Linked DNA regions of Neodiprion lecontei. The protein of the gene in region 3 binds, or shares a complex with, the protein of the main gene of each other region. Links are inferred from orthologs where the notes say so. Each region holds a gene or a part of one and is shown on either strand. Other genes may lie near its edges.

Evidence for each region. Proteins that work in one complex are often made in the same cells at the same time.
Region 1: exosome complex component RRP40 (region 3) and exosome complex component RRP42 share a complex: the UniProt entries of both Homo sapiens proteins name them as parts of the RNA exosome core complex. The link is inferred for Neodiprion lecontei from reciprocal best matches to the Homo sapiens genes EXOSC3 and EXOSC7.
Region 2: exosome complex component RRP40 (region 3) and exosome complex component RRP46 share a complex: the UniProt entries of both Homo sapiens proteins name them as parts of the RNA exosome core complex. The link is inferred for Neodiprion lecontei from reciprocal best matches to the Homo sapiens genes EXOSC3 and EXOSC5.

What each region holds. Positions count from the first base shown.
Region 1 is NC_060263.1:34,933,425-34,938,199, reverse strand, and holds exosome complex component RRP42, read right to left. Parts: upstream 2,858-4,775; 5' UTR 2,716-2,857; coding exon 2,659-2,715; exon of another isoform or gene 2,570-2,658; intron 2,469-2,569; coding exon 2,272-2,468; intron 2,197-2,271; coding exon 2,031-2,196; intron 1,917-2,030; coding exon 1,722-1,916; intron 1,406-1,721; coding exon 1,232-1,405; intron 1,155-1,231; coding exon 1,050-1,154; 3' UTR 980-1,049; downstream 1-979. Other genes in the region: GON-4-like protein, read left to right, coding at 1-295, 364-584, 666-716. UniProt on the Homo sapiens protein: Non-catalytic component of the RNA exosome complex which has 3'->5' exoribonuclease activity and participates in a multitude of cellular RNA processing and degradation events.
Region 2 is NC_060261.1:41,971,097-41,976,149, forward strand, and holds exosome complex component RRP46, read left to right. Parts: upstream 1-2,183; 5' UTR 2,184-2,365; coding exon 2,366-2,474; intron 2,475-2,701; coding exon 2,702-2,815; intron 2,816-2,925; coding exon 2,926-3,047; intron 3,048-3,201; coding exon 3,202-3,345; intron 3,346-3,942; coding exon 3,943-4,125; 3' UTR 4,126-4,806; downstream 4,807-5,053. Other genes in the region: thioredoxin domain-containing protein 11, read right to left, coding at 1-55, 152-355, 508-738, 861-1,071, 1,538-1,749. UniProt on the Homo sapiens protein: Non-catalytic component of the RNA exosome complex which has 3'->5' exoribonuclease activity and participates in a multitude of cellular RNA processing and degradation events.
Region 3 is NC_060264.1:3,212,191-3,217,243, reverse strand, and holds exosome complex component RRP40, read right to left. Parts: upstream 3,518-5,053; 5' UTR 3,481-3,517; intron 3,425-3,480; exon of another isoform or gene 3,160-3,424; 5' UTR 3,155-3,159; coding exon 2,964-3,154; intron 2,685-2,963; coding exon 2,165-2,684; 3' UTR 542-2,164; downstream 1-541. Other genes in the region: lissencephaly-1 homolog, read left to right, coding at 22-95. UniProt on the Homo sapiens protein: Non-catalytic component of the RNA exosome complex which has 3'->5' exoribonuclease activity and participates in a multitude of cellular RNA processing and degradation events.

The DNA.
Region 1 (4,775 bases), on a different chromosome or scaffold from region 3:
AATACCGAAATCAGCTCAAGACTTAGTAGTAACGATAATCCGATTGAGAAAAAAGAATCTATGTCACCAATTAAAACTAAGAGGGAAGAAAGGGCAGAAAAAAGAGAAGCTCAGGATATTTCAAGATCAAAACGAACTAAAGTCGCCTATAAGAACACAGTCAAATCAAGTAAAATACTGGATTCGGAGAATACGGATAATGCAACGCAGTCACAGACTGACGATACTAGCCAAGACGAAAATTCAATACCGGATTGTGGCAAGGTTCACGATATTGAAGAAGAAAGTAAAATGAGTGAGTATCTGCATTTCTCGTATGTCCCGTAACTGTTTTTTTTCAATGAGAATATGTAATTTAAACAGGTACAAACGAATATGAGACTGAGGAAACTGTGAGGCTTGAGAAGATGGAAGTTTCAAGCGATTCAGGCAATGAACCTGAACATGAAATCCGGAACGCTGTCGATATTAGGCCATGGACAAGACAAGAAGATGCAGTTTTACTAGAATGTATCAAGAAGGAATATTCAGAAAATACTTTTTTAACAATCAGTGAGACTCTGGGAGATCGAACTGTTCAACAGGTACGTACATCAGCAAATTAATTGAATGAAATTTTTCTTTCTGTGCAATTGAAGTGATGATACATCAAACTTTTTACACAGGTTAAAGAACGGTTCGAGATTCTTCTTTCATTGTTAGAGAAAATGGCCTGACGCGAAAAATCAGATGGACTGTATGAGAAGTTGAAAGAAAATTAAGTATACCAGTGTTACAGCTATGTAATACTCGCGTATCAAGGGATCAAGATTTCCAACAATAAATAACGCCGCTCAGCTTGCTAACCTGCAAACTTTATATTATATCAACAGTATCCTTATATTCTCAGGAGTGTCTATTATCAAACTCACGAGACGTGATTAGAACTGTACGCTTATCGAAAGTTTGATTAATACGCGACGTTATTTTTACTTTCTATTTTCTTGTTTATTGATTCAAAATATAATTTATGTACATAAAAAATATTAAACAATTCTTAGATGTTAATTTTATTTAAGAAACCCAAAAATTTCTCTCTGCGAACCTAACTCGTCCTCCTCCTTCAATGCATTCATAATTCCTGCATTCAACTTAATTCCAATGTCTTTTGCGAGCTGAAAGATTAAATCATTCAAGACACTTATAAATGATCGCGCTAAAAACGAATAGACATTGATTTGAAATCTCATACCTCTAATGTTTTAACCAATGTCGAGGGTTGAAGACTGCCATATCCCGTCTTCACCACAGATGTTATACGACCATTGGGCATTACGGCGACAACTATACTTGCTGCACTACACTCTTCCTCCTCTGAAGTTGGATCAACTACACAATTTTCTCCTATCTGTATAAAAGTAAAATTCTGACTAGCTACCAGATTACCCCATATTACAAGAACTTAAAAAAAAAAAAAAATAAAACAAATATACTGCTATGAAATTGAAGCTTGGAAAGAATATTTAAGCTATTTTATGGAATTCGTGAAACTGGTAGAACTCACAAATCACTTTAGGAGTTCTTTAATAAGCAATGCCCTCAACGAATCTATTTGAAAGTCTGAACACTGCGCTTAGTTCCTTGCCCAAAATTCCTGGGGCACATCATACAACAGGAAACTAAAATTTGGTCATGGTAAATCTATTTATATCATACATTGCATATGATTACTTGCAACTTACTTTGCAAAGGGTAACCAGAACAGGAAAACTACCAACATCCAGCTTAACACAATCGAAAGGATCGTCTGATAATTGAATGTCAGCTTTACCACCGTCAAGTGTTGCAGTTGTAACTTTGGGAATTTGTGCACTGTATAATGCAGCCTTAACCGCTAATGCTACAGCATCAAATAAATTGCCATCGCATTGAAGAATCTGTGGAATGTGAGATTATTTTAAAGATTTGTTCATTCAACTGAAAAGCTTGGACTAATGAAGATTAATTTATTTGCCAAGCAATGTAGGAATAAGACAACTTTGGATACTCACTAAAACGTCAACATATAATTTCCAACACTTTTGCTGAGGTAAAATGCACAGTGTTGTTAAATCAAGAACATGAGATGACTGGTAAGCTAACGTTAGAGTATTGCTTATTTCTGTACCTAAATTGTCACCTCCTTTCCCTTCAAATGCCGGTGTAGCATTGGCGGAACTGAAAATTGGAATACAGTTGACATAAGAAATGCGAATCTGGATGATAAAAAACAGTTTATGTCTGATTACGAACCAGTCAACAAAGAATTCCAATTTTCCTTCATTAGGGTTGTCGGGATAGGGTGTGTCAACCTCAGCTTTAACACCGACTAGAATATCAGTATTTGCTAGTCGTAAACGAGCCGAACCACTAGTATGAGGTAAGACTTTTGTTTCCACTTCCATTGGGCGATATTCAGATCTATTTCTGCCATCGGTTCGGTAGTTATCCTAGGAATAATATGCAAGATTTAAGGTTTTCTCACCAAAATTCAAAAGTGTGATCAAAAGTGCCGTGATTCTTTGAATCAAAGTAATGTTCCATCACGTACAAATCGAAAGGGGTGGCATCGTTCGAATAGAGAATGACGATCGAAGCAACAATTAAATTCGAAAGTACTAATAGAAAGAGTCAACTCACATCCACTCCGTGCACTATAAATGTTTTTTCAGCTAAGCTCAACAATGTGTTCGCCATTCTAATTGGGACAGTACTCGAGATGAGACATATGCGGTCGCTGATTAATTCTCTATTAAAAAACCTGCTTCAGTATCTTTCAAAAGAAGCAGCTTTATAACCTAAAAATACGCGAGTACGCCAAAACACGTTGTCAACGGATAATTACTGGTGAGCAGCGGGGAGGGAGGGACGATGTTTGTCAATCAATCGAGATCGTTGATCGATTCTTTTTTCTCAATAATCGTTTATTTTCGCCAGATGTTTTTCAGCTTCGATTAATCGATATTCGATGCTATTTCTCAGACATGTTACAAAGGGTGAAATCACCCGTCTTACCCCCTTTTCTAATGAACTAGTAGTCATCGCAGATAAAAGAAGTTTGTAAACGTCTTGTGTCTGGACATGAATAAGGTTGCTGCGTCAACCAGCATTCTTGCAAAAACAGTCTTGATTCAGATTTTAAACGAATAACACCGCATCTTGCAACAAAACATAATTTTCTCAACATTTTAATTTTCGCCACTTATTTGCCACACAAGCTCAAGTACCCACATTTTATTACGTAATTCCAACGAGAGTTACAATATTAACATTGCCGCCGACGCAAACGCCAGCAAAACGACACCAAGATAACGCAAAAATTCAGTTTCAAGTACGTTACTTCGCAAGTAGTTTTAATCGCTGTAGAGATCACCAGTTGTATAACAGTGTTTACTGGATATGAGTGATCGGAAGAGTGAAATTAATTATTTCATTTGGTTGGTTACATAGCTTTAAGAATCTGCATATTTCTTTAAATGTTGATACATATTTTGAGGAAACGTATTTTTAATCTGCATGGCGATGATGATAACTAAGCAGTATACGAAGATATTAATAGGTAGATGGGATGTAATGGCTAAGGAGTGAATTCGTGTGAAAAATATTACAGATGCATTAAACTGAAACATAACTATTATACATATATTAATTATTAACATAATATACAAAACGGTACACTAATAAAAGTTACACGTTCGTACACAATAAACGTTACACCTGCAGGTTTATATGTATATATGTTATGAAGTCAAGTGTCTTAGTCCGAAATAGCGCAAATAAATATGTACAAATAAAAAGACGAATATCAATATGTAATACTAAAGCTTAATACAACATTCATAACAATGTACAAAGCCATAATTCAAATTTTCCGAAGCTGTTTCAATTTTCACGTTTTTTTCCAAATGGTTATCATTGTGATTATTTGTTATCAGTATAGTACCATTATTTCGGAATGATAATCATTGCCTTCAAATAGATAAATGCTTAATGTTTTTTCAATGAGATTCGACGAATCAAGTTTTCGAATACGATTTCCTGGGTAACATAATTCTTTGACTATAACAATGCATGATCATAATTGCTTTAATAAAACTAGCAACCAAATCGTCCGAAGGTAAATGTGTATTATTAAAAGAAAGTTTTAATACTGAAATATGTAAGAAGTTCTTGCATTTTTACATCTCAACCACTTCTAAAAATCGGCAAATGATGAAAAATAGCAAAATAACAGTTTGGCATAGCAGGTAATTATTGTGACGAAATGACGAACATATTTACATTACGATGTAGGTATATCTTGAAAATAATACAAGCACTTTACAAGAGCTTAACGCTTCAAGGTGCGAAAAACAGTACAAAATTGTTTTCTAGAACGGAGAGATGAAACAGGAGCAAGACTTATTATAGGTATGTAGCAAGACGTATGACACTAAGTCACTACGGTTCTTAAGAATTAAATATGTAGGTATGGTTCAGTTGAGGTGAAAAATGATTCAACAAATCAGAATATCTACTGATACAGCGTGAATGTTTGATTACGAAAATCTTACCGCGTGTTATCGCAGAGATGTGTAGAACCAAGTTGTTGTCAAATTGAATTGGGATAAACATTGTATTTGAGTGTGAAAATCGAATCTAATTCTAATCTAAATGGCACGGTTTTATTTGTCACACTATATGAGCGACTTTACAATAAATAAAGAAGGAATAGTGTATGAAAAAATAGAACTAGGGTAGCAAAAACTATTAATAAT
Region 2 (5,053 bases), on a different chromosome or scaffold from region 3:
CGCCAATCCACTTCAGTAAACTATCAGATTTCCATTCATTTTCCACAGGATAACTCTGTACAATGAATATTTTATCGTAGCACAATGTTCAACAGATGAATCAAAGGCAAAATCTTATATTTATATATTTTCAAGCTAAACTTGCTCGTACCAATGACTCGTTCCAAAGTAGCAACCTAGCAGAAGGAAACTCCGTAACTCCGTAATTAGATTCTGCAGAAGTGTCAGTAACCACTGCGAATGCTAACTCTTTGTTAGGATCTCTTTCTAGTGATTTAATTGCCGTTTTGTAAAAGACATTGTATCCCGGTGAGTTTTTCAGTCCGATAAAATTAAAGTAACCTATCACCACGGCCTAGAACATAAGGTTTTGTGATAATTTCACATATATGTGGAGATAACTTAAGTGATAATAACAATAAACATGTAGAGGTCGCAACCCAGATTGAACAGAAAGAGAGAGAGAGAGAGAGAGAGGGACAGAGGGAGAAACGTAATCAAACCTACGTCATAGTCTACAATCAGGTTCAGGAGCTGATTTCTGTCTGTTATTCTGAATATTGGGTTCATAAATGCGTGGAGGAAGCGTATCATGTACGGTGCAGTACGAATACCTCTGTACTGAACACCAGGTCCTCGCCTAGGATAGAGCATAAAAACTGGGTAGCTCTGAATCTTGCTGTATTCAGCCCGGCATTCTGAACCCGGGTGCCAGCAATTAATGGCTGCAAAAAATATCTGAAAATTAACAAATTAAAGTTAGTGTGGTTTCCACAAGTTTTTGTAGTAATGTCAAAGGCAAGAAGCAATAATTGAATAACGATTTATGTATAGAACTTAGTAAATGAATTAATGAGAACCTGTTTGTGGTAAAAACGTGCCACAGTTTCAAACTCTTGTCTAACGGCTTGACTCTCGGCATCCCATGGTGCGTAGTACATAACAAAACTGAGATCTGCATCTGTGACTCTTTCAATAGCGGCGCCTAAATGACCTTTGTAAAAATCCAAAACAAGCGAGCTTTGGTTAAAGAATGGCCGAGCTGAAGGAGGTTGTGACACTTTTGGTGGCCTGTAAATACATTCAAAGTTGAGAATTCGCTATTAAACTAGTTGTTTATCAGATACGTTATACATGTATTTAATCAACTAAAAAAATCTATGAGAGATCATGTTTTACAATTAAATGCAGTCAAGGTTTCATTTGATGTTTTTGAAAGTAATATTTGAGAATTTTACCGGTTTTTATTGAACATTGATTTCTATAGTTTGACTCCGCTTGCAAGTAACGATATTTGACACTTCCTAAATTTGATTCGGATCATACATATTCAAAAATATCAGTAATAGAACGCCGTTGTAAAATAGTGTTGTTAAAGAATATCCAAAGGTAAAATGAATGTTGAAAAATAATTTCTTCTACAATGTAATTCATGATATTGGCATTTGATTTTTTTTACAATATGCTAGATGATTAAAAAACGTAGAATTATTGAGGTGAGTTGGCGGATAACCTTAACTATTTTTAAAAAACTTACGAAGTGTGAAGAGCAGCTAAGGTGGTGAATAATATTGCAGCAAAGAAACATAATTCTTTGCCATAGTGTAACATTTTCGAGGCTAATCGTTCTTCTAGTGCGGAGCTCGTTGCGAGTGATGTTTGGACCACGTTATCACTTCCTGAATCATTGGTCGGCCGCAAATTATCACCATTTCTTTGCGGACTTGTGTCGCGTTCTCCACTGGTCATTATCCTCGAAATTAAGGAAATAACGAAGGTCCGACGGGGGGATGATTGCCGTCAAATTTTCGTCACGTATCGCGTCATCACTCGGGCCTACTTATCTTTTCATGGGGATTATATTAACTGAATTACAAACGATTAATAAACTCGCGCCCCAAGGTCCACACATATGTCACCTGTGCTCCATCTTTTTCTCCCCGGTGAACAGCTGACCGCTTAAATCCACTCGTCTTAAACGACATTAGTGTACAAGTATCGAAATTTCATCTCCAATTAAATTGAACTTATAGAATGTCCTTATACATTTTCAGGGTTATTACAATACGTCTGCTTCCGAATCGCACGTGGCTTATTTTTTATAAATAACGTTTTGACTTGAATCGGCTGCTAAACTGTCATGGAATTTTTTGATACTCTGCAGTTGGCACCCTGCACATCTTTCCGCTATATCTAGGGATATCCTGACGTGGACCAATGAAAAGCCGCGACGCCGAGTTTCTGGATATCCCCATGTCGTACATCTCATGAGCTTTAACTCTGGCGTCGATGCAACGCGTGTCTTCCATTTGTCTGCTCCTAACCTAGTTCAAATTGGAGCGGCGAAGATAGAAAACGAATTGAAATGCAAAACCAATTGGAAACTACGGAGGAAGAGGAGTGCGTTTTGAGACCGATGAACTGTGAATTAAATCAGCTGAGCAGACCGGATGGTTCGGCAATGTTTATGCAAGGTAACTAATTCGTGTGAACGGTCGTTTGTTTTCATAGCGTGAGTTCCCATTTATTTTGTTTATTTTTTATGTTAGCTATCATCACATAAACATCCAGATTTTACATACCTAGTTTCCTAGATTCACATATTCCAATTTTTCAAATTTATTGCACGGCTCTTTTGTGGTATCTAATATGTACATACCATAATTCTGAACTGATGGTGTTTTCAAATGATCGATTCCAGGTGACACCGTCGTTGTTGCCGGAGTTTATGGACCAATTGAAGCGAAGCTACAAAAGATGATGCACGACAGAGCGACCGTTGAAACAATGTTTAGTCCTGCAAAAGGACCACCGTGTAAGTATTTCTTGACTGCCGACAATCCTGATATTTTGATTATAGCTCTTTAACAGATTATTTCGCTTGTTACGTGATTTAACATTTTGATAATTATTCTGTATTTTAAGGTGTCGACGACAGAGCGAAGGAAACTGTCATCAGGGAAACGTGCGAGGCTGTACTGCTGACTGCGTTGCACCCTGGCATGGCAATAAGCATAAATGTACAAGAACTGCAGGATTCTGGAGGAGTTGGTATTTTTATTGATTAAGTGTTGTACAATACAATTCTATCACTTCACTTTATCGGTTCATTACAAAACAATCGATTCCACTTTACTTCCACTTTTCGTTGTGTCTTTTATTAAAAGAGATAATACTCACGTGTTACGTACAATTTTGCAGTTACTCGCCTGTGCCATTAATGCTGCTTGCCTGGCGCTCATAATCTCCAGTATTTCTATGAAATTCACTGTCGCTGCTGTATCCTGCATGATTGACCGCGAGTCCGGCAAACTGATTGTAGATCCTGATAGCACGCAAATACAGGTTTCTAAAACTTATATTTATATATTTGAAATATTTCAAGTAAAATTCATATTCTTTCACACATTTATAAGTATTAAATGCTATTGGTATTTTCTTTTTTTGCCCAGTTTGAACTATTTGGAAATAATCTAACTTTCTACAACTAGAACCTTAGGTTGAATTTTCAAGTAAAGCCTTAATCGCTAATTTTGATCAAATTGTTTTTGTGCTCTGTCAACAAATTTTAAGGAGAGACGAGAAAGATCACAACTTTCTTCATGTATTGTCCTTTATATGTTTCTAAATGTTAATCAGAGCAGAAATGACAAACCAGCGAATTTTGTCTAATTTTACTTTCTGAGTCTCAGAACACCTAGTTGAGTCAATTTCGTAATTCAAAAGTGTGGTATTTGTTTTAAATATTACCTTCATGTATAAATATTTCCTTTAATCCGAACTTTATGGAGTTATAATTTTGAAGTATGAGCATTAGTTTTGAAGGACGCTGGGCCTAAAACAACAAAAAATGACGTATTATTATTGTTACTTTGTTTCAATTCCTTTCAATTACTTATCATACGTAATTCTAATATATTTGATAATAATTGAAAATTGCAGCAGGCACGGGTCACGTTCACGTATGTTTTCGAGGGTATAAAAAAGGACTTGGTGTCTTGCCACACAACTGGTCGATTCTCGGAGAACGAGCTGATGGAATCTCTAGAAAAGTGTCGAGCAGCAAGCCAGAACATCTTCGATTTTTATAGAAACATAGTTGAACAATACGCGATTAAATTATGAGCATATTTGCATGCGATAAATTTATCGACGTCGAATTCGCACCCGTAAATTGCTGAAAAATCCAATGATTCAATTCTATAACTAGCACTTTACGTATATTTCCGAGCAGTGGGAGATCGATTGTATGTATATAAAAATAATTAGGCGGTGGTATACTCGATCCGTTTCGAGCTGAGGAATTTAATAACACCGGTTAAAACGGCCTCCGCGGTGCAGGTGATTCGGTACAGCGAAATAGCGATCGTAACTTTGATTCCATTAAATACAATAAGGCTACCAGGAATACTGACTGAACTACGTTTAGCCGCGAGGTTTCCCCCCGGGGGCCCGAAGCTGCGGCGCAGTCTTGCTGACCATTAACAAGAAGCGAAGCAATTTATGGTACGGTTCGCTCATTCCCACTTTATTATTTCTCGTCGTAGCTGAGTAGATGTTTCTCTGCTGCAGTCGCCGGTTTCGTTTTGCTTACCGAACAGCCAGATACAGCGTCAGCTTACAGACATCCTGGCGAGATGCTTCGCATCGAAATTCTGCAAACCTTTCTCATCTTGAGGCTTCCTCATTAACGTGATTTGAATGTGTGTATATATATATATACATTTATTTTAAGCCTGAAGATAATTGATGACGTTCATGTGCGTCGATGTCATATATTTCATAATAAACTGTTTTTCACTTTAACAATGAGATTCCCTTTGTTCCACTACGTTAAATGGCATTTTGAATTTCAGGGTTTCGTAAAATATTTTAACGCAAAATTGCATCTTGGACTGACAAGACTCTGACTTGATATAGTTAAGAAATGAGCTTTCATCGGTTTTTTTTTTATCTTCCGCGAGAAATAATTATCATTATTCTTTTAACGTCTTCAAGATTCCAAGCATCTTCTTACCATTTTCTAAAAGCGCATTTTTAATAATTCTCTTCA
Region 3 (5,053 bases):
ACATCATCTTTTGTATTGTAGATTTTCACAAGAGCCATCCATACGTGGTAAGCGGTAGCGTGGATCAGACGGTAAAGGTTTGGGAATGCCGCTAGTCACCCAGTTTCTGAAATTACTGAAACTTAACAAAAGTCCAGTTCCATATGGGGATGGCACAGAAGTAAGCTGCTGAAAAGCTATCGTACATACTATTATAAAAACACATAAGCATATACGATTAAGAGATCCTTAATTAATTTATAATAAAGTATAATAAATTAGTAATTGTAATAATATTGTTTAACAGTAATAAAGTATTCAAATTAAAGGGCTACAAACGGCTTTAAGAGGCTTCTGAAGAGGTATCGTATGCCATAAGAAAATAGAGAAATTTATCGTGTACAATGATATTGTTGTAAGAAAAAAATGTTTCAAGAGACAAGCAGACTCGATTGGTTCGCTAAATTGTAAGTTCCAGATTAGTGGCGCAATAAATAGGTCTATCGGTCAAGTAACGAAATGTAAAGCCCTTTGACTGCTTTCGATATTTTTGCGATCAAGCTTTGAATAAATTTATCACGCCGTGATACAATATATTATTGGATATACAGACCACGATTATCTTAATGCACTCCTGAGAAAAATTTCATTCATTTCAGTCCGTTTTGCGGGAAGAGTTTCCGCCTGACAGTTATTTGAAACGTGAAGTAAGGTTTCAGAGTCTCTTGTTGAGGCCTCTTGAGCTTGATGATAAAATTATGAAATGATAATTATTAGAGCCAGTTTTGACTTCAGTTAATACCAGATTGAATCAAATTCTTTACAACATATCGCTTGTTCGACGTGATTTTCTATCTTCATATTTTTGTCGCGGATGCAAAACATGTTATCAATTGATAGAATAAATTGCATGCAAGATACAGTAGCCTCGTTGAATAAGTAAATATTATCTAGAGCTTGATCGTTGATCGATCATCATTAACGGACGTTAATGACTATACCATATATACACTTCTAAAATCCTTCACCCTGTAATTAGCTTGACAGTTTCTTCTGGAACATCGATTATTGTCCAAACGCAAGTCTTCATCCAAAACCTAAGCTCGAGAAGTTCTGAAGTTGACCTGGCTCTACTATTTACGTAACGCTATTACTTTATTTATATACATACACGTATAATATACTATTGCTATGCTATACTATTCTACTACACATTGAATATTAACCATTAATCTACCTTATACCCTATTGTGACTACTGTACTCAAATTATCTATTTCATCACACTAAAAAATTGAACAAAATTTTAAGAACCCAGTATACATATACTTTGATTACAATTAATTGCCCAGCAATGAGAAATCGTTATGATTATACTAATTTGAATTAGAAAATTGCGGTAATATAATAATATTCTTTACCAATAACGTTTTGATCTATGGTCAAGCGTAACGTTGGACTGGCTGCTGTTACTCAAATGATTTTTGACGTTAAATTCTTCGCGTTCTTACCAAGATTTAATTTCTCAATTTCGGTGGAAAGTTTGTTGGAATTTGTAACGTCAACTTTTTTTCAATGCTGGACAAACTTCTTGACGTGCATTATTAACGTAATATTACTATATACAGTAAATTAATAGCAAATTACCAATAAAATTTGTGAAATTGAAAAATATTGATTACACTTGTGTATGGAGATCATAATTTCTGTAGCTTAACAATGAATGGGGTGTGAAACGAAGTATACTAGGATACTAAGTAGGATAGTACTGTTATAATATGAGTAGGAACACTTGGAATACGTGTAGAAATTAGAGCACACACATACGACTTGCAACCAAATAGACGTGATGAATAATAATTAATTTTAAAATAGTAACCACTCAATATTGTACCCTGCCCATCTACTTTCCTTGTTTACGTCCTTTGTCTTCATCTTCTCAAACGATGATGGTATTAAAGTATTATATTCTTTAATAAAAAATTGTCTCCAAAAACTACATTCTAACTTACAGAGTATTCTTTCTCACTATCTTTTGCCGACTGTTGTGTGCTCTATTGCTTTCAATAAATCTAAGTAGATTATCACTCATATCGAAGGAAGATTTTATTGCAAAAAAAAGCATGTTTCATAAAATACTTAAAATATCTGGATGTACACCAAGGGTTGTGGAATTAGTCTTTTTCTTAGCTTATTCGGAGTAAATTACGGGCGATACTCGAACACAAGGCTGGCATTTCTGCTGGTGGGGTGTTTTCCGCAGCTAAAATAGCATTGCAAGCCGCTATTGTCTCGTGGACTGATCTGGCCTTCATCCAGATCTTTCCATTCATACCTATGGCGATTTCGTAGGCCTGTTCTTTGGCAAGCAATGTCAACAGCTGACAACTTGGGTGAAGCAATTTCCTCGCCAAACTAAGGGAACAATCAAACAGCATCCCATCTGGACTTAAGACACCTAACTTGCCCTTCTTCCCATGAGAATCGACGCATATCAACTCCGGTTCCATGCCTTTGCTAGCCACCAGTAGCTTGGCAAAAATCACGTCACCTACGACAATGTCAGGTCGATTCTTTTTTGTTGCTCCTTCAAAAGCCAAGTAGGATAGAGATGCCAGTTCCCCTGCCCCGATGTCAACTCTGTAAATATCCCCAGCCTTCTGCGTCACTATTCCAACAACATTCTCCCCTCTGTTCGGGACGTACCTGTAATGAAATAAATAAATTGTTATTTAGAACATATCGAAAGAGATGTTTCCGCAAAGAAGCATAATGTTGATAAGTAAAAGGTAAACAGGCTCGAAATACAATTATTCTAAAAATATCAGTTAATCGATATCGAAGCGAAAAGGAACAGCAACGAAGAAAAGTCCTTGAATCAGGCAAGAATATTATTTATTGATCAAATGATATGATAAACATGCATCAGCTTACGTTATTGCTGAGTTGGACAGACCAATACATAGAACATTTCATATTATTAACCTTTTCTGATAGCTATCCACGTAAAATATAGCTGGTTTTCGCCTCTTCAGTACACCAGCTTTGGTGACAAGGACGCGGTCGCAGTCGCGACGCAGTCCAGGACCAAGAATCACTCGCTCTTTTTCACTTGATTTCATTATTTCTACCGCGACATCGCCAGGAACCACAACATCCTTAATATTTACTTCCATTCTGACTGCAAGAGGTAATGGTATAAGCGTGGGAGCCTCGTCTGTGTCGCCTTTGAGAGTAATTTAGAGGCTATGTTTACTATTCTAACCTGATCTATCAATGTAATCTCACGGGTGGCCGGTGAAACTATGGGTAGAAACGTGCCTGACAGAGTTGAGTATGAGCCTTGCGTACCAGACCTAACTAGCTTAACATAACCTGTTCGGACTGCGCTCAATCTGTTCTTCGCGCAAAATGACACAGACGTCGTGCTCAAAAAAATTGATTTCACCATTTGTTGGAATCGGCAATATTATCATCAAATATACAAAAGGGTTAGCCTTACTTTTTTCCTCGTTTTTTGACCGAAAAATTTTTCGTCTTGGAATTGATTTGTATGACCCTTTCCCGACCAATTGGACCACCAGGAACTCAGAAAACGCAGCGAAAAGAGCGTGGGACCAACAGGAGAGAAAATACGGAGGAAAAAGCACCTGCTGAAAAGTGTCAAAAATACAGGTTCTCGTTTTTTGGCTGTAACTTCTGATGCGTTGATCGCAGCGTCCTGGGACTGCGCTCAATCGATTTCTCTCGCAAAATTACGTCGGATTAGTGTCAGAAAGAATTTATTCCAGCACTTTTCAAAATCGCGAAACTTTTCGCCAAAAATACAAAGGGGTTAACCTTCCTTTTTTTTTGACCGAAAAATTTTCCGTCTTGGAACTGATTTGTATGACCCTTTCCCGACCAATTGGACCCCCAAGAACCCAGAAAACGCAGCGAAAAGAGCGTGGAACCAACAGGAGAAAAACTACGGAGGAAAAAGCACCTGCTGAAAAGTGTCAAAAATACAGGTTCTCGTTTTTTGGCTGTAACTTCTGATGCGTTGATCGCAGCGTCCTGGGACTGCGCTCAATCGATTTCTCTCGCAAAATTACGTCGGATTAGTGTCAGAAAGAATTTATTCCAGCACTTTTCAAAATCGCGATAATTTTCGCCAAAAATACAAAGGGGTTAACCTTCCTTTTTTTTTTACCGAAAAATTTTTCGTCTTGGAATTGATTTGTATGACCCTTTCCCGACCAATTGGACCACCAGAAACTCAGAAAACGCAGCGAAAAGAGCGTGGGACCAACAGGAGAGAAACTACGGAGGAAAAAGCACCTGCTGAAAAGTGTCAAAAATACGGGTTCTTTCTTTTTTGGCCGTAACTTCTGATGCGTTAATCGCAGCGTCCTGGGACTGCGCTCAATCGATTTCTCTCGCAAAATTACGTCGGATTAGTGTCTGAAAGAATTTATTCCAGCACTTTTCAAAATCGCGAAACTTTTCGCCAAAAATACAAAGGGGTTAACCTTCCTTTTTTTTTTGACCGAAAAATTTTTTGTCTTGGAACTGATTTGTATGACCCTTTCCCGACCAATTGGACCCCCAAGAACCCAGAAAACGCAGCGAAAAGAGCGTGGAACCAACAGGAGAAAAACTACGGAGGAAAAAGCACCTGCTGAAAAGTGTCAAAAATACAGGTTCTCGTTTTTTGGCTGTAACTTCTGATGCGTTGATCGCAGCGTCCTGGGACTGCGCTCAATCGATTTCTCTCGCAAAATTACGTCGGATTAGTGTCAGAAAGAATTTATTCCTGCACTTTTCAAAATCGCGATAATTTTCGCCAAAAATACAAAGGGGTTAGCCTTCCTTTTTTTTTGACCGAAAAATTTTTCGTCTTGGAATTGATTTGTATGACCCTTTCCCGACCAATTGAACCCACAGGAACTCAGAAAACGCAGCGAAAAGAGCGTGGGACCAACAGGAGAGAAACTACGCAGGAAAAAGCACGCGCTGAAAAGTGTCAAAAATACGGGATCTCGTTTTTTGGCCGTAACTTCTGATGCGTTGATCGCAGCGTCCTGGGACTGCGC